Linked DNA regions of Arabidopsis thaliana. The protein of the gene in region 3 interacts with the protein of the main gene of each other region in a pairwise test. Each region holds a gene or a part of one and is shown on either strand. Other genes may lie near its edges.

Region 1 (4,953 bases), about 20 Mb from region 3:
GCTGAGACTGTTACCAAAGTGTAGCCATGCCTTTCATCTAAATTGCATCGACACTTGGTTGCTCTCTCACAAGAACTGTCCTTTATGTCGTGCCCCTGTACTTCTTATCACTGAACCACCTCATCAAGAAACAGAGACGAATCATCAACCAGATTCTGAATCGAGCAATGACCTCCGTGGAAGACAAGACAGTTCCAGATCTAGAAGAAACCATAACATTTTTCTTCCAAGGGCACAAAGTGATTTGGCAAACTACTGTGGCTCAGGAAGAGTAGAAAACGTGAGAAGATCGTTTTCAATTGGAGGAAGCTTATCACTTTGCGATGGTATTAACAATGCTACTAGAAGTGGAAGACAGTTCTATACCAGCTTCAGTGCTAACTTGTTCTCATCATCAAGAAGAGTAAGGAACGAACAACCGATTCCACAAAACCAAATGCCATCCGTAACTGGTAACACCAGTTAATTGGTGTAACTACATTGAAGCTTAATGTAATATCTAGTGTGTTATATACAGTATCTGAAATAAATCGAAACTTTCAATGTTTCAATATTATATGATCAACGAGCAGCAAAACCAAAGAAATTAAGGAAAATAAGTTCTATTAAACAGGAGAGAGTTTCGTTGGGGTATTTCATCGAACACTTCAAGGCTAACTAAACCAAAGTACCTAACAACTGAAAATTAAAACGAGCCAAAGCTCAACACTTACAAGAACCCATTACTACTAAAACGCAAATCAAAATCCAGAAATAGAGTTCCATTGACGAACTAAATCAAAAGATATAAACCATAACAACAGTCTTCAAGCTCTTTCTCCTCTGATTCTCCTCGCGAGCTGGATATCCTTAGGCATGATGGTGACCCTCTTAGCGTGAATGGCGCAAAGATTAGTGTCTTCAAACAAACCAACAAGGTAAGCCTCAGCAGCCTCTTGTAAAGCAGCAACAGCACTGCTCTGAAACCTCAGATCCGTCTTGAAATCCTGAGCTATCTCACGAACCAGACGCTGGAAAGGAAGCTTACGGATCAGAAGCTCAGTGCTCTTCTGATACTTCCTGATCTCTCTCAAGGCAACAGTTCCTGGACGGAATCTATGCGGCTTCTTCACTCCTCCGGTGGCCGGAGCAGATTTCCTTGCCGCCTTGGTTGCGAGTTGCTTTCTTGGTGCTTTGCCTCCTGTGGATTTCCTCGCGGTTTGCTTAGTACGAGCCATTTCGAAATCAAACAAAGACTAATCGACCGATCGAATTTTCTTCTTGTGGAGGATGCGAATGAGAAATTTTGTAGTGAAGATCAACGCAGAAGAGGGACTGCTTTTATGGGGAGAGAAATTTGGCGGTGAGGTGAAAAAAACATGGGAGGGAGTTTTGTTTTTGGAGGGAAAGTTGTATTCTTGTCCGTTGGATTAAATATTTCAATCAACGGCTGAGATCATCAGGTATAAATCCGTGTGAGACCTTATCAACGAATTAAAATAGACTAAAATTCCGGCCATCCGTGTCATTTACTATCAACCAATTTAAATCATCCTTTTCAGTCCACGTAGGCTTTTGCGCTACTTCCAAATCTTTTAATTTTAGGCGCCAAATCGAAAATTTTGGCTATGAAGGGTCTCAAAAAAATTCAATCGTAGAAAATAAGGATGAAATTATTTCAAAATTTACATAACAAATTTAGCCTGAAGTTACAAATTTCGAGAAATTACATTACTCTTATTCAGCAAATCTACGCATTAAGTAAAATAATTTGGAGGATTTCTTACTGTGATGGTATAACCAGGAATAGAACAATCTGCGAATTCTCACTTTGATTTTGTAAAGAACCGATACTTTTCTTACGTTTAGTGAATGATTTAGTTCTAAATAAGAATTTGTAGAATGTTTTGTTCATGGAGAAGAAGACTGAGAATCCCTAAGCAGCTACTATTGCAAATCAATTTGGACAATTTCATCGAGCAAAAAATTAACTCTTCCGTTGATAAACGATTCTTAAGCGTGGCAGAAATATGGAGATCGACAGAACGAATCAAAAGATTAGACAACAGTAGATTAAAATTTCCTTTAGGCATTTCATCGAACATCTGGAAGACACATCTAAGTAAAAAACTAATAACACTCGAAAACGAAAAGAGACAGCTTTACATATCCATTGAAACCAAACAAGCTAATCCATAACTAAACGACTAGTCTTCTTAATCTTCATCATCTTCGTTCACTTAAGCCCTCTCTCCTCTGATTCTCCTCGCAAGCTGGATATCCTTAGGCATAATCGTAACCCTCTTAGCATGAATCGCACAGAGATTAGTATCTTCAAAGAGCCCAACAAGATAAGCCTCAGCTGCTTCCTGAAGAGCTGCGACGGCACTGCTCTGGAACCTCAGATCCGTCTTGAAATCTTGAGCAATCTCACGAACCAATCTCTGGAACGGAAGCTTACGGATCAAAAGCTCAGTACTCTTCTGATACTTCCTGATTTCTCTCAACGCCACCGTTCCTGGACGGAATCTGTGTGGCTTCTTCACTCCTCCGGTGGCTGGAGCTGATTTCCTCGCAGCTTTGGTCGCGAGTTGCTTCCTTGGTGCCTTTCCTCCGGTGGATTTACGAGCTGTTTGCTTGGTACGAGCCATTTTAGGAGTTCGCAAGATTGTAAATTTGCTCTTTTGGATTTGATTCGGTGAGAATGCGATCGATGGGAAAGTGAGTGATGTTGTGAGGCTTTTTTATACTCAAAGGTAGAGAGGAAGTGATTGTGTTTTGTCCGTTAGATCTGTTTGGCTTATCAACGGTTAGAAATGTTTGTATCTTTACGATCCGCGTCCTGTGTTAATAACCAATAAGAATTACTTTCTCAGCATCCACGTCATATGTTACCAAAATTGTCAATGCCGAAATTCACATATACAATTTGATTTATGTGTTTATGCGGAAGAAGCCATGAATCAATTATTCTTACGGATCTAAAGCTTGACTTGACCAAATTTGTTCTCAACACATTTTTATGAATATATCATTCATGTTGACGTTAAAAAATCGTAAATTGGTGTTCAAATTTTCGAGATCTTTATTTTGTTAATGGAATTTGCTGGTGGCTGCAGTGTGGTTGTTATTACTATTACTTATATAGTTAATTTGTATTGACTTTTCTAATCTTTAATTAGATACTAGATAAATGACAATACTGGTAAACCTATTCGTTAAATATAACATTGGTAAACTTATTCATTTACAATACAAATAAAAAAAACATTGGTGTAAAGTCAATAGTCAATACAAATAAACTATATATGTAATAGAAATAACAAAGTAGTTGCCAGACTTATTCTATAACATTCCTATCAACATTTTATTTAACAAATAACAACATTTTATTGGTCTTATGAGGTTGAATATGAACTCGTCATGTTTAATATAAGTTTTATAAAATGAATGAACGACGACTTTAGAATGAAAAGATATATTACCAAATTAATAGTTGAGAAAAGTAAAATTAATCAAATTTGGATGTCGACCAAAAAAATAATGTTAATTTTGAATGATTGCAAAAGGAAACTCACGTATATAAAAAAGATTTAAAAGGAAACTATAAGAAAATGGAAAGCGAATCAAACATTGGACGCTTATAAAAATCAAATTCCAACCTCACAAAGCAAAACAGCTTCAATTTTTTTTTCATCTAGTTCCATCGAGATAATGCCAGGACTCAAAACTCACATAATCGGAAAATTCAAAGACAAAGCTTCGATAGGCAAAGCAAGATTGGTTCATAGTTTCGGGTCCACCGCCGTCAAATACATTCACTTAGCCCTCTTGAAGTCAACAACTCGTACTCCTAACAAACCACCAAACAGTGACTATGTCTCCGCTGTTATCTCTTACTCCAACAGCCGTTACGCTCCGGCGGCTTTCTCAGCGGCTCTGTGGAGGTTACGTGTCACGAAGAACGCTATTGTGGCCACCAAGTCTCTCATCGTCATCCACAAGCTTATCAAATCATCAAGAGACAAGTTTGAAGGACTAGGTCATGGTCGAAACAATCTAAAGTTGAACGAGTTTTCAGACAAATCTTCTAATCTCACGCTAGAATTGTCTCAGTGGATTAGATGGTAATTTACTTCTTCTTTTAAAAAGATTTTTTAGTTCTCTTTTTTGATTGTGATATTTATCTAATAATTTGGACATGTTCATACCGACATTTTTAAAAAAAAAATGTAACTTAGGTATGGACAATACTTGGATCGTCTCTCGTGGGTTCCGAAGGTATTAGGATCTTTTCCAAATTTGTTGGTGAATCCAAAAGATAAAGTTGAAGAGAAAGATCGTGTTTCGTCTTACCAAACCGGGTATATTATAAGACAAACGGATTCTCTTGTGAGTTTTTTTGAGCATATATGTACCAGACCTGAGATTCCGCCTATGTTCCAAAACAAGATCGTGGACGAGATTAGAGAGCTAGTGATTGAAGACTATTTCAAGATTGTGAGATTGGTTATGGTACGGCTTCAGGTGTTGTTTGAACGATTGATTAAACCGGGTGTTAAACCTATTGGTGATCTCGGTCTGAACGATTTTAGTCTGCTTTTGGTGAGACTTGTAGAATGCAAGGAGAGCTTGAGTGGATTATTTTGGCGTTGCAGACGTCTAGCGGATGATTTTTGGTGTTTGGTTGAGATGTTGAAGGCTGAAACAGAAAAGAAAAACAATAAGCAGATGATTGAATTGGCCGGTTTGGTTCAGACTACGGTTAAGGACGATGAGGAGATGATTGAATTGGTTGGTTCGGTTCAACCCGAATGGGTAACATTCGACGATTCTGATTTCTGAGACATTAACACATGAAGTTACATTGGATTCCGGATGGGTAACATTTGACGACTCCAACGGATTGACGAATAATTCGGTCTGGTTGGTTCAGTTAGGTGAAGCAAGATCCGGTTTACACATGGTAGACTT
Region 2 (6,221 bases), on a different chromosome or scaffold from region 3:
CCAAGAACAGAAAAGTTACAAGTCAGAACCTCATAGCAATGGAAAACTAATGTCGGCTGAGTACTATGAAAATCACCTCTGGTTAGGTCCTAGAGGAGGAAGCTCTGGTAAGTCGTTTTCTTCGGATTAACATTTGAGTATGTCTCCAAAGATCAGACTTTTCTCACTCACTGTCTCGTTTTTGTTTAGGTTCAAACAACCTTTACCCTGGTGACCTAATCCCTTTTACACGGAAACCACTTTTCTTGATCATTGATAGCGACACTAGCCGTGCATTCAAGGCAGGTTTGTCATAACTTAGTGTTTCATTTCTCTGGAGAGTCTGATAGTTTCTCTCAGTAACTATGCGATATTTGCTGATGGATTGTAATAAAATAAACAAACTCCAGGTTTTGGGCGGCGCAGAGAGAGGCGAGCCTGTTGCTATGCTTCTTTCTCCTCTGAAGCCATCATTCGAGAACCCATCTACTGATGATACGGAAGCACTAAATGGAAGTCAGTTTACTTTTTTCTTAACAGCTCCTTTACAAGCATTCTGTCAAATGCTGGGCCTCTCAAACACCAAACCTGACCCTGTAAGCACTTGTGATTTGAAAAACCGTAAATGAACCAACCTTTTTATAGTGTGGCATGCGTCTTTACCATTTCTGATTACAATCTTCAGGAATTATGTGATGAAGCAGAGAGCATACTTTCTGCTTCCTTTTCCGAGTGGGAAACGATTCTCTTGACTTCCAAAGTCTTGAATCTTGTCTGGGCACAGGTCTTACCTGATCCATTCTTGAGACGGCTGATTCTCAGGTGAGTTTTTCTCAAAGTTTTCGGAATCAAAACCTCACAAAGCATGGACTCTTGTCAAATATTGTCTTGTTGTTGTGTAGATTCATATTCTGCCGGTCTGTACTCACTTCCTTCAGCCGCACAGAGGATGATGACCCGTATTTACCTCAATGCCACCCGAATCTCCCAGAGCTGCTCTCTTCGGTATCTAAACCGGTGCAGTCCTCAGTACAACGACTAGCTGAGCACTTGGGTGTTGCCAAATCTTTCCACTTCACCAACACATAAAATTAGAAAAATCCATCCCTGTGGTTGAGAGTAGGTTGGTGGGTGAGAGAGTAGGTTGTTTGTTCGTTTTTGTTATAGAAGTTTGTATTTGTTTAGGGTATAAAGAAAAGAGAGAATTGTAATTTTTATTTTGATTTGATGATTCTTTAGTTTTGTCATATTTGTAAAAGATTAGAACAAGGTAATAATCATTAGTCTCTTCTTTAGGATGGTTTGCTTTGTGTACGAGGAGAGGTTAACAATATCTGTGCATTGCATTAAAGAAACTAAGAAAGTGTGACATTGTTCTATCGCTTTTTCATAAACATCTATGTAAGTTTGAGCCAAGAACGAATTAAAGATTGAAACTTTACCCAAATTATCTATTCAACTTTGTGATGAATGGGTTTTAAGTTTCAACATTTGAGCTCAAGAACGAAGTAAAAAGGTTGATACTTTTTTACAAATGATGAAAGGTGCCAGAGATTGAATCCTAGCCGTCAAATAATAAATCAAAACGCCAAGAACAAAGGTGTCTCTGTGAGATTGAATCGTAGCCATCGAGTCCAATTTCTAACCGGAACCGCTTGATTTCGCTGTCTTCTAGTTCTGCGACCTATCATCGCTTTAGTGGAAAGGAGGAAGAAACATGGAGATTTCGAGGTGAGTTTGCAGAGATTTGAATAAATCTTTGGATAGTTTCGTCTGGTATTAACTATGTTTGGTTGGAGTTGCGATTATTAGTTTGAGAAGCTTTTAGATCTGTTTTCAGGGAATATTCATATATTGGCATATCTGTTTTTCAATTGCAGATGGATTTGACTACTCCAAGAAACCCATAAAGATCTTTGATTTGAAAAACCTAAATTCCATCCACTATGCTAACTTTGAGACCTTTTGTGCCTGTAACAACATTAAAGCCTCGTTTTTCATACAACATTCCGCATCATCATCATCACATTCGCTTGTGCAAATCTCCTTCATTAATCTTGAGAACAAATGCTCAAAATGGCAACGACTCGGCCAAGGAGTCTTCTGGTGGCGGAAACAGACCTGTTACTAACGATGATGGTAATGGTTCCAAGAAAGACCAATTCGCTGGTTTCAGTTTCAAGTGGGGAGAGCTGTTGAATCCAGATCAAGATAACTTTGTGGCTGTTGGATTAGCTGGAGTGTTGACTTGGGCTAGCCTTCAAGTCTTGTCTCAGCTTTTCTTCATCTCTTTCGCCATCCTTGTCGCTGCTCTCAAGTATTCATTTATCGCTGCTCTACTCATTTTCATTCTCGTCACTCTCCTCTAGCTTTGTCTACTATTGTCTTTATAATGGTCATTTACTACTAAAGAATTTGTACCAACAACGATTCAGATTCTACTCTGTTATTGTAATCGATTTGAAGAATTACTACAGATACATGCATGAATGTACATTTGAGCTTGGTATCAAGTTTGGTGTGAATTCGAACATGGTTTAAACCCTCTTCTTGAAACACTGAAGAAGAATGTCTTACGAACCAGTTCAAATCTCAAAGTTAACACCTCTTATGATCCAACTCGAAGCAATGCATTGATATATCACAATCAAAAGCAATGGCGAGAATCGATTAAAGTTATTTCATTGAGACTTTATTAAGCTTAAGTTATATTAAGAAGAGACACTACTTTTTAGAGGAGGATTTCTTCTTGGAGCTAACAACAACAACTTGAGGTTTAGGATGTTTCTCTGCTTCACTTGGATCTAACCACTTAAGATGATGACGATTAAAGCAAGGCCAATTAGGTATTGTGATCAGAGTCGTCAGAACAACACCTCCGGCGTAAATCAACATCATCATCCTAAACGACGCCGTTGTGTAACCAACAACGAACGACACAACGGCGGCGATCAGAAGCAGGATCTGCATTAACTGCTCCGCCAATTTCTGCCCTTGCCAATCCATATCTGAAGAAGAAAAAAAAACACAAAATTACGATTTAGATCCGATATAACAAAATTTGAATCGCACAGATCGATCTCTTTGGAGATTCTATACCTAGAAAATGGAGACGATTTTCAAATCTCTGTAAAAATTCTGGTTTCTTCTTGACGGAAGAAGACGACGACTCCAATATTTCGGTTAGTACTGAACCGGAAAGTTTGACTGGTGCAACCAATTTAATGTACCGTACGTAACGCACCAATCGGATTTTGTATTCAATGGGCCTTATCTGTGAGCCCATTAATTGATGTGACGGCCTAAACTAAATCCGAACGGTTTATTTCAGCGATCCGCGACGGTTTGTATTCAGCCAATAGCAATCAATTATGTAGCAGTGGTGATCCTCGTCAAACCAGTAAAGCTAGATCTGGACCGTTGAATTGGTGCAAGAAAGCACATGTTGTGATATTTTTACCCGTACGATTAGAAAACTTGAGAAACACATTGATAATCGATAAAAACCGTCCGATCATATAAATCCGCTTTACCATCGTTGCCTATAAATTAATATCAATAGCCGTACACGCGTGAAGACTGACAATATTATCTTTTTCGAATTCGGAGCTCAAGTTTGAAATTCGGAGAAGCTAGAGAGTTTTCTGAGGTACGATTCTTCGATCCTCTTTGATTTTCCTGGAAATATTTTTTCGGTGATCGTGAAACTACTGGAATCGCTCGATAGGTGGTACGAAATTAGGCGAGATTAGTTTCTATTCTTGGCCATTATCTTGTTTCTTCGCCGAATGATCTTCCGGATAAAGATTTTAGGTTAGAGATGAATCGTATAGCTAGATTTCATCACCAGATAGTTTCTTTGTCTAGAATCTCTGAAATTCTCGATAGTTTTCACATGTGTAAATAGATTGTTCTTATTCGGCGATTGTTGATTAGGGTTTTGATTTTCTTGATTATGCGATTGCAATTAGGGATTTTCTTTGGTTTTGTGTTGATCTTACGATACATTCCGGCAATTGAATACGTATGGATCTAAATCTTGTTAATTTGTTGAACAGATGGCTCGTACTAAGCAAACAGCTCGTAAGTCTACTGGAGGAAAGGCTCCTAGGAAGCAGCTTGCTACAAAGGTAAGACTCGGGCTCTCACATGTGATCTGAGTAGCTTGATAAACACATTTCTAGATTTGTTCTAATTGGTGGATGTTTTAATTTAAGGCTGCACGTAAGTCTGCACCAACCACTGGAGGAGTCAAGAAGCCCCATCGTTACCGTCCAGGAACTGTTGCACTACGGTATGCAATCTGTTTCTTCCCCAAATTCAATTGTGTTTTTACTTTATTGATATCGTCATTGATTAAACTCTGTTTCTCTGTTTTATTGATCTTGATTGACAGTGAAATTCGTAAGTACCAGAAGAGTACCGAGTTGCTGATCAGGAAGCTCCCTTTCCAGAGGCTAGTTCGTGAGATTGCCCAGGATTTCAAGGTAATGTGTCTGTTCGTCTGATTCAGTCTACAAATGGATTTAACTTTTTACTTGTTTTGTCATAACCTTGTGTTCTTATCTTGTCTCTTTGATTGCAGACTGACTTGCGTTTCCAGAGCCATGCTGTGCTTGCACTCCAGGAGGCTGCTGAAGCATACCTTGTGGGTCTCTTTGAGGACACTAACCTCTGCGCCATCCATGCCAAGCGTGTGACCATAATGCCCAAAGACATTCAGCTCGCTCGCAGGATCAGAGGAGAACGTGCTTAATTGTGATTGGGAAGTAGTTGGATTATGTGAATGTGGGTGGTTTTCTAAATAGATAGTTGGAATTAGATAATGGCTTAAAAAGCTTTTGGGTGTAGGAGACTTGGAAACAATGGTGTTTTTTTTTTCTTTTCTTTCTGTTTCTTGTCTAGTCGGTTTATGATTTGCTTGTGTTCTTCTTAGCTACGTTTTGTGGTGTGTATTGCTTTCTTCTTTGGCAATGTTGAACACCTTTTGTTGTTGAATTCATCTCTGAAACATATGAATATGTTAAAGTTTCTGACTCTTGTTTCATCTGTATCTGTTCGATATTGTATGATTGAGTTTTATTGTTTATCAATAAGCTTTCTGTTTCAAAGTTCTTTTCAATATCAACAACTTTTACGTTCACGAAATTGGTAATCCGTGTGACACTTAAAATCTCTAATCGTGGCCGTTGGGCTGTGTTGAGAAAACACAATGTACAATAGTTTGAACCGTAGGATAAAGAATGTGAGAAAGCACAAAGGAGCGTATCGTGATAACCCTTTCGTGAGTATTATAAATAATAATTCAACTACATTGCGGCCACAACCACTACTTCAATCATCCCCTATTACTGCTTTTGTTACGAAAGACAAAAAAACAAAACAAAACAAAAGTCAGCTCAGGCGAAGAACAGGTATGATTTGTTTGTAATTAGATCAGGGGTTTAGGTCTTTCCATTACTTTTTAATGTTTTTTCTGTTACTGTCTCCGCGATCTGATTTTACGACAATAGAGTTTCGGGTTTTGTCCCATTCCAGTTTGAAAATAAAGGTCCGTCTTTTAAGTTTGCTGGATCGATAAACCTGTGAAGATTGAGTCTAGTCGATTTATTGGATGATCCATTCTTCATCGTTTTTTTCTTGCTTCGAAGTTCTGTATAACCAGATTTGTCTGTGTGCGATTGTCATTACCTAGCCGTGTATCGAGAACTAGGGTTTTCGAGTCAATTTTGCCCCTTTTGGTTATATCTGGTTCGATAACGATTCATCTGGATTAGGGTTTTAAGTGGTGACGTTTAGTATTCCAATTTCTTCAAAATTTAGTTATGGATAATGAAAATCCCCAATTGACTGTTCAATTTCTTGTTAAATGCGCAGATGGCTCGTACCAAGCAAACCGCTCGTAAGTCCACCGGAGGTAAAGCTCCAAGGAAGCAACTTGCTACTAAGGTTTTGTTCCTTCTTGTCTCTTTTTTCAAATAATACTTGTGTTGTGAAGTTGAATGTTAATCTCCTTCTTTATTAACCTCAGGCTGCTCGTAAATCTGCACCAACTACTGGTGGAGTCAAGAAACCACATCGTTACCGTCCTGGAACTGTTGCTCTCCGGTTTGTCCCTTCTTCGATTTGTATGTGATTCTTTGAGATTATGTAACATTGTGTGTTAACATTCCTCTTATCTTTTGGTGTTCAGTGAAATCCGTAAGTACCAGAAGAGTACTGAGTTGCTTATCAGGAAACTG
Region 3 (7,468 bases):
TATTTCTATTATACTTTATTATTTATTTTATATTTTTTAGTTAATGATAAACTATGTGAAATACTCCATCCCAAAATAAAAAGTTGGGGCAAATTGTAGAAAATTCAGAACTGAAAATTTCGGAAGACGCCATTTTTGACCCGATTTAAGATTACGGAAGAACGTACGTTTGAGAAAACCTTCTCCTGTACTAACTCGTAAAGCTACTTATTCCTAATTAGGCTATTAAACTAACATTTTCATGATATTATACCCTGCATTAATTTTAAAGACTATATTAACACTTAAACACGTGGAACTTTTGAAGATTATGCTTCTAGACACTTAAGAGGAAAAGAATGTTGACTGTTTTCTATGGAAAAAGTGACAAATTCAAAAGCTTAGTTAAAATGTCTTCAAACATTGTATCATATAGTATACCTAGTCTTACCAAAATAGGTATATTAATTATATCGCTTTCATCGTTCGAATCCACTCACTATATATATGATTTTTTTTATCGCACTATATGATATCGGCAATTAAATATGGCTAATTATCATCAAACGGGATGATCTGACCCAATAATTCAAAACATTTATAAATTACTGTATATATATCTTTTACATGAACTCTCTATCTTAAACATTTTTAGCATTTTGTTTTGTAAATTGCAAACGTAAAAATTAAACAAAAATAGAATGATATATGCGTTTGGTTTTACATTTACTCTATATAAAAATATCTTATTTTGAAAATAGTTGTTTACTGTTCTTTTTACATGTTAAAGACTAGCTATTACCGTAGAAAGCCAATTCGTTTGAATATTGGAACTTGAATGATATCAACTAAAGTGATGAATCATTGTCCACAGTCTATTTGGATTAGCATCCCCATTCATTGAATTAACTGACTTACAGATACATTGGCCAAAAGAGAATGTAGCAGTTTCCCTGTTTCAGTCATTTTTCCGTTAGGTTGTGTCTTTTGAGGGAACATAACTTTATAGGCAATTATTACTACAAAACATTTGGATAAAACCCTACATGTCTTAAATTCTTTTGGCTGATTCGTGCTATTAAAATAGTATCATACTATTGATTTACAAGCCATCTTGTATAAAGTTTAAGATAAAGACGCCTTTTAGATCATTACTTTTGAATTTTGATCAAATATTTGGGTTATGATCTATTGTTTGGGATTACCTTAATAGTAATATTAAACTTCTAATAAAACGGAGTATTAGATTCAAATTCAGATCAAATAGCACTAAAAGCAAAAAAAATAACTAATTGACTAAATCATGCTTTAGAAAAAATTAATCACGCTTAAACAATACTCCAATATAACATTTATAGTCAATGGACGACAAAGCTGTAAAAAAAAAAAAAGTCAATGGACGACAAAGATTTGAAGTCAATAGTTTGATAACCTCAGGGTAATGTGAAATGATTCATTAGCACTAATTGTATTTGTAATTAACTGATAAAAGAATCTTCAGTCCTTGAGAGGACATGATTTGTTACGGTGAAGCAAAATATTCAAAAACAAATACGCATTAATCCAAAACCGTTGTTTGGTAGAATCAGCAAATTCCATTTGGAGTCAAAATCAACTATTAAAACAAGTACATATATTTTTTTCTGTATATAGAAAGAGTCCCTTTCGTGTGCATCTTTGATTTTAACGTTTACTATTTAAATGACTCAATTAATTGATTTATTAACGAATAACGACACTCACTAATGCTAAATTGCTAATGGTCACGGTGTGTGATTAATTTGACTTTGACCATAATGAAATACTAATCGACCCATTGAAGAAGAAACTACATGAAAACAAATTTCTTTCTGTTCTTTTTTCTTGGTTTACAATAAGAATAATACACTTATGTCCACACAAAAAAAACAATGATAAGATTTATTTATTTTTAAATTAAAGAAACCAAAAGAGACTTAATTCAAGTGGTAAAAAGATATAATTTTGACGAACACACCAAAATTCAACTTAGTGATTAAAAAAAAAAAAAACAAATGCACCAAAAATAATTTATCAAGTATCTCCACATGGAGAAACTCACTCTTTTGCCTACAGCAACATTCCTATGAGCAGTCTTCAAAACATTTTGCCTTACATGGAAGCAAAAAACTAGGCCATGAAACTTCACTCAAAACCCAAAACATTTGTTTTTCTTTTACTGGTTTTCGTTTAGACTTTTCGATTTTGTTTACTGTTGTTTGCATTCAGGAGGCCTCTCTCCTTGTTGATCATCGGTAACCTGAGGTCTCCCTCCTTTCTGCAATATGATTTCAAAAAGAGTATGACTATAGAATCCATCTCATTATCACAAACATAGCACAATGGTTTGCAAGTACTAGATTTAGCCTAAGCTTATAAATATGCATGAGAAGGATTCTACATAGTTTCATTTATAATTCTCAGTCATATAAGAGTTCAAGTTTCTATGATTCACAGATTCGTGCATAGTGAGCTTAATCAGTTAATTTCAGCTATCTCCTAATTCACGGGTCATGTTCTCTACTTTTTAGATCATGGTCTAGCCTATAAATGTCAATAGTTTATGACCGTTGTATGACTCATTGGTATCGGATTATCTAATTAACTCAGACAAATACTATAAGAAGGGTGGAATATGGCTATGTACCTTGTGTAAGACTGATGGCTGCATAAACATTCAACACAATATCAAAAAGTTAGTAACTAACTCAGAAAAGGTAATTCCATGACAAGAAGAAATGAAACAAGAGGAATCCAATACCTTCTTTTTGGTCTTGCTTACTTCTTCCTCCTCATCTTCGTCGTCTTCTTCCTCATCTTCGTCTTCATCTTCTTCATCCTCATCTTCATCCTCATCGATATCATCTTCATCGTCATTGTCTATTTCAAACTCCTCTCCCTCAATAGCCTCACCAGTAAACCATGAGACAGCATGAGGTATGATCTTCTCCCGGATTGTAGAACTGCAAGAAGCAAGGAATACTTGAATCAGATACTAAATAATGTATTAACTTTCCGATAAAAGATGCTAGCTAGAGCTCTTATACAGTTGGTAATAAGTTAGACGGAATATATTAAATTGACAGAGTTTATGTTCAAGAAGACGAACCCAATGTCATAATCTTGTTCCATCAGATTCTGAAGTTCCTCGGCCTGCACCAAGAACAGAAAACATTACTACAAAAGTATAATCAAACATAGTCAAAATAGGGCCTGTCTTAAAACCAAATGATATCATACTCTTTCTTCGTCAATGTCTTCATCATCATCAGGAACTTGGGGAGGATTGAAGAAGTTGAAGAAGCTTTCACAATCTTCAGTTTTGGTAATTGGCTTGGCATTCTTTGCACCTTTCTTAGGCTTCTTCTTAAGAATCTTCTGAGTTAAGCATTTTCCAGGATACCAATCAATCTCTGTCCTGAGACAAAGAACAAAGAATCAAAATCCATGTTAGTGCATAAGTCAGTACAAGATTCCGCAGCTCCTTGGAAGAATCTCAGAACAAAATATGCTAGGGAATAAATATTACAAAAAAGTTATCAACAATTACCCAATAGCCTTCTCAAGCAGAGGCTCATCTTCATCAATCATATGATACGCCTTTGTTAATAGGGTGTTTTTGAAGTAAGGATTCTGGTCGAAGAAAAACTCAAGTTTGAATCCCTTTGGTTCTTCAATCTTGCACCACTTGATATCTTTAAGATATATAAGGGCTCCTTCATCACGCTCTGTGATCTGAAATCAAAAGAAATTAAAACTCTGGTCAATTTCCATGGATATGATTAAGTAACTCTAAATGAACAATCATAGATGTAACACCAACCTCTTCAGATATAACATCATTATTTTTCAGAGCAGTCAGCCAGAAACTAGGGACTCCTTTCTCTGCAATCCAGCCCGGTGAAATAAGCAAATTGTTTTTTTCTTGCAAGAATGATTACAATTTACAAAGGCAAAGAGAGAGAGAGAGTACCTTCTGCAGTTTTCTCGTCTCCTTGGTCCATCTTAGCATCCTCTGGAGCCCCTTCAACTTCAGTAGCTCCATTCACAATCTCATAACGCTGCACATTCCAAATGTCAAGCCAGTGTCAAGAGAAATTCGAAGCTAACTAAAGCCAACACAGCTGGAAATAAAGAAAATACAGGATAACTAAATTTTTCAAAATAGTTTAATCTTGCTACAACCAAATTACCTTGTTATACAAAGGCTGATATAACTTTTGATACTTGGCTTCAAGAGCAGCTCTCTCCTCGCGGAATTTTGTCTCTATTTCATCATGTTTGCCCTAAAAAACGAAAAGGATTCTCAGATAATCATCAAAAGAATGCACAGCATTCTCATATAATCAAAAGCATACAAATATACATTTCAACATCATACTCACAAGATACCATATCAATCTACACCAATCTATTGAACAAAAGCTTATATAGGAAACGTTAATCACAACATAAGCATAGAGCTCATAAAAAGTGAATGGAAGTTTTCCCAAACCTGAATCTCCCGCAAAACCTCAACACGCCTTCTAATTTTAGGAGTCAGATTCTCGAGCACATCAGAATGTTGTCCAGCTAGATTCTGGAGCTTGTTCTGTGAATCAAACACATAACAGTTACAAAAAAATCTCCACAGAAACTATAAAATGACGAAACGCCCAAATTACATGTTCCTCTTCAAGTATAATGCAAATCGATATAAGAAGAGATAGAGAAACTCACCTTAAGAGCGTTGACAAGACCAGCTCGATCCTCATCTTTAAGAGCTGCAAACAAACAAAAAAGCTTCTAAAACTTTGACTAAGAAGAAGCAAAGCCGCAGAAACAAAATCGGAGATATAGATTTACCAGAAGTGAGATCGCTGACATTGAAACTGTCCTTATCGTTGCTCATTTTCTGGAAATTTAGAGATCAAAACTGAAAGATTTGAGAAGAAAAAGGATTGATTGAGAGAGAGTGTGAAGAAGGTTTGAAAAGAGGTGGAGAGATTGAGGAAGAAGAAGAAGACTTGAGGGTTTTTTCTGGGTGGCGACTAAACGCAAAACGTGGCTTCCTCCTTTATAAAATTTAAACCTAACAACTGCCATTCTTTTTTTTTTAATTCCCTCGCTGGCATTTTTATTTACTTTTTCATTTTTTAAAATCTAAAATATCCCAATGCAAAATATGTGCCGTTTCTGCAAAAAGTGCCAAACACCTTGCCGTTTATCGCCAAACAAAGGAAACAAGTCAGTTGTCTAATGCTGCATTACACAATATAATCGACAACAAAGTGAACTTGAAAAGCTACGATGACAGAAGGCTAATGAATCATGCACTCTTGGCTTCTGTATCCTCTTCCTTAGGCTGGTTATCATTGGCATTAACTGTTTTATTCTCTGCATCCACATAGCGACCAGTCATCGGATCAACTGGGCGTGTGTCTCGTGCTCCACCTTTACGTCCCATAGCCACCATTGGAGGAGGAGGAAGTAAACCGGATCTGAATAGGAGACGTTGAACCGGGTCTGATGGCTGAGCACCAACAGATAACCAGTACCTGTACAGAACAAGAGAATCAAACAAAATGTCCATTAATCAAACTATATGCATCCTCTGTTGAAACTAGTCATTCAGAACAAAAGAAAGACAGACCAGGATCTAACTTTTAAGTAGTCTTGACATGTGTTCTTCTAATATCCGGACATTATAATCTTAATTTTAGATGATGATAAAGAGCATGACAAGATTCTAAAGCTACATGACCATACAATTATGCAAAAGAGGTTGTATATGGTGAACAATTAAGAATGTAAGTAAGTGTGTATACGAATAGATAATCAACAGGTTCTTCATCTTACACTAATAAGAAACAATTCCAGAACTCAGAGCAGAAGTTCCATAGAAAGACTCAAGACTGGCGGAGAAGTTTCATTTGTTATATAACAAAACTTGTTGATGAATTTCCACAAATATTTCAGTTTTTCCTTTCATAAGTTAGTGATTAAATGAGGTAGAAAATTGCTTCAACTAATGGTTCAATACCATGAAGAGAAAGAAAGTGATCAAAACCAACCATGGGAAACATGTAGATTCATTCGCCTTTCGATAACAAAAACCATTCAAAGACTGAACTCAGCTCCTTTGTATCAGATCGAAAGATAGTTAACTATAACACAATGTTGACTATACAACAATGCATTAAGATATCTAGAGGCGGCTAGAAGCTAACTTTAGCAATTAACCAAAACACTTCAAATGCAGAAAAGCCTTAATCATCTAGTGAAGCATTCAGAGACCTCTTTCTGAGTAAATTCAACCCAAAACCTACCTGATTTTACCGAAAAAAACATAAGAAACTAGAGAATTAGATGAGAAGAAACATACTTAATTCGATCGAACTTGAGACCCATCCTCTTACCACCGTCCTGGCCTGAACACATAGACCAAGAGATCGTGTATTTTAATCGAAAACTCTACGAACAACACCAATTGGAATACATTTTGTTTTGTCAATCACCTGGCAAAGGATTGAAGTAACCTAAGACCTCAAGATGCTTCCCGTCTCTTGGAGATCTGCTATCAGCAGCCATAACCCTAAAAAATGGCCGATTTTTGCATCCAAATCTCGACAGTCTGATACGTACAACCATGTTTCTCCTCCCTTTTCACCGGAAAAAAATCGAAATGATCAGAGCTGGCTAAGAGAGATAGAGAGAGTGAGAAATTCCAATTTCGAAAACTCTGAATCCATAAATCTTTTAGGGTTTGGATCCTTATTACGACGCCGTTTGTTGAAGGATTCATTGGGCCTACAAAATCAGGAAGCCCATTAACATCAAAGATGATACAAGCCCAATAAAGATTTTTAAATCGTCCACCGCCACAAGACGGCCTTTCTCCGGCGAAAGACAAGCCGAAGTTGAGCCTATCGGTACTGGTTGAGATTATTCTCCGGCGGAGACAATGGAATCTTCCGTCGCTCCGTTTCCTCACCGACGCACGCATCTGCCGAATCGAAATTATCGCTCTTTGCTTTATCACTTTTGCTCGAGTTTCGATCGGGAGCCTCAAATTTCTCTTGCCACACCGGCAGTTCTCCAGGAGCTGGTCTTACGAACAGGTCAGTGTTCGATTCGAAGTCAAAGTTCTTAGGAATGATTAATTCATCTTCTAGTAATCAAAATTCAAAGTTCATCTGTTGCTTGAAATTGCCTGAAACTATTTCTGATGCTATTTGTGTTTTCTTACATAGAAATTGCTCAAGAGTCTCCGGGAGAAACTTGCGAACCGCCGGAGAATTTATCAATTACGGAATCAAAACTCAATGGAGTGTCTGGTGATTCAAGTGGTGAGAAGGTGGAAACAATTTCACAGGAAAAGAGTTTGATGCTTGGAGATATTTGTGATGGAATTGACTTGCAAGATGCATCTGTTGTTAGTAGACACACAGATTTTTTCGATAGCTTTGAGCTTATGATTAATGAAACTCAA

What was found.
Region 1: the proteins of NAP1;3 (region 3) and AT5G10400 interact in a protein complementation assay, tested with the Arabidopsis thaliana proteins (one study listed by BioGRID).
Region 2: the proteins of NAP1;3 (region 3) and AT4G40040 interact in a protein complementation assay, tested with the Arabidopsis thaliana proteins (one study listed by BioGRID).

Annotation. Positions count from the first base shown.
Region 1 is NC_003076.8:3,268,259-3,273,211, forward strand, and holds AT5G10400 (Histone superfamily protein), read right to left. Parts: upstream 2,700-4,953; 5' UTR 2,631-2,699; coding exon 2,220-2,630; 3' UTR 1,914-2,219; downstream 1-1,913. Other genes in the region: RING1 (RING/U-box superfamily protein), read left to right, coding at 1-466; AT5G10390 (Histone superfamily protein), read right to left, coding at 807-1,217; AT5G10410 (ENTH/ANTH/VHS superfamily protein), read left to right, coding at 3,694-4,106, 4,221-4,824. UniProt on the Arabidopsis thaliana protein: Core component of nucleosome. Nucleosomes wrap and compact DNA into chromatin, limiting DNA accessibility to the cellular machineries which require DNA as a template.
Region 2 is NC_003075.7:18,556,053-18,562,273, reverse strand, and holds AT4G40040 (Histone superfamily protein), read left to right. Parts: upstream 1-3,328; 5' UTR 3,329-3,628; exon of another isoform or gene 3,629-4,037; coding exon 4,038-4,109; intron 4,110-4,196; coding exon 4,197-4,273; intron 4,274-4,375; coding exon 4,376-4,466; intron 4,467-4,564; coding exon 4,565-4,735; 3' UTR 4,736-5,103; downstream 5,104-6,221. Other genes in the region: AT4G40050 (signal transducer, putative (DUF3550/UPF0682)), read left to right, coding at 1-107, 190-281, 390-575, 665-801, 882-1,068; AT4G40045 (uncharacterized protein), read left to right, coding at 1,926-2,348; AT4G40042 (Microsomal signal peptidase 12 kDa subunit (SPC12)), read right to left, coding at 2,704-2,985; AT4G40030 (Histone superfamily protein), read left to right, coding at 5,447-5,530, 5,857-5,928, 6,011-6,087, 6,173-6,221. UniProt on the Arabidopsis thaliana protein: Variant histone H3 which replaces conventional H3 in a wide range of nucleosomes in active genes. Constitutes the predominant form of histone H3 in non-dividing cells and is incorporated into chromatin independently of DNA synthesis.
Region 3 is NC_003076.8:23,030,038-23,037,505, reverse strand, and holds NAP1;3 (nucleosome assembly protein 1;3), read right to left. Parts: upstream 5,058-7,468; 5' UTR 4,889-5,057; coding exon 4,843-4,888; intron 4,761-4,842; coding exon 4,717-4,760; intron 4,589-4,716; coding exon 4,493-4,588; intron 4,284-4,492; coding exon 4,191-4,283; intron 4,059-4,190; coding exon 3,971-4,058; intron 3,883-3,970; coding exon 3,821-3,882; intron 3,733-3,820; coding exon 3,548-3,732; intron 3,416-3,547; coding exon 3,238-3,415; intron 3,151-3,237; coding exon 3,107-3,150; intron 2,961-3,106; coding exon 2,759-2,960; intron 2,663-2,758; coding exon 2,645-2,662; intron 2,276-2,644; coding exon 2,207-2,275; 3' UTR 1,813-2,206; downstream 1-1,812. Other genes in the region: AT5G56940 (Ribosomal protein S16 family protein), read right to left, coding at 5,306-5,534, 6,362-6,407, 6,495-6,627; EMB1789 (CCCH-type zinc finger family protein), read left to right, coding at 6,941-7,097, 7,230-7,468. UniProt on the Arabidopsis thaliana protein: May modulate chromatin structure by regulation of nucleosome assembly/disassembly. May function in nucleotide excision repair (NER). Involved in somatic homologous recombination. Could be involved in response to abscisic acid (ABA) and to salt stress.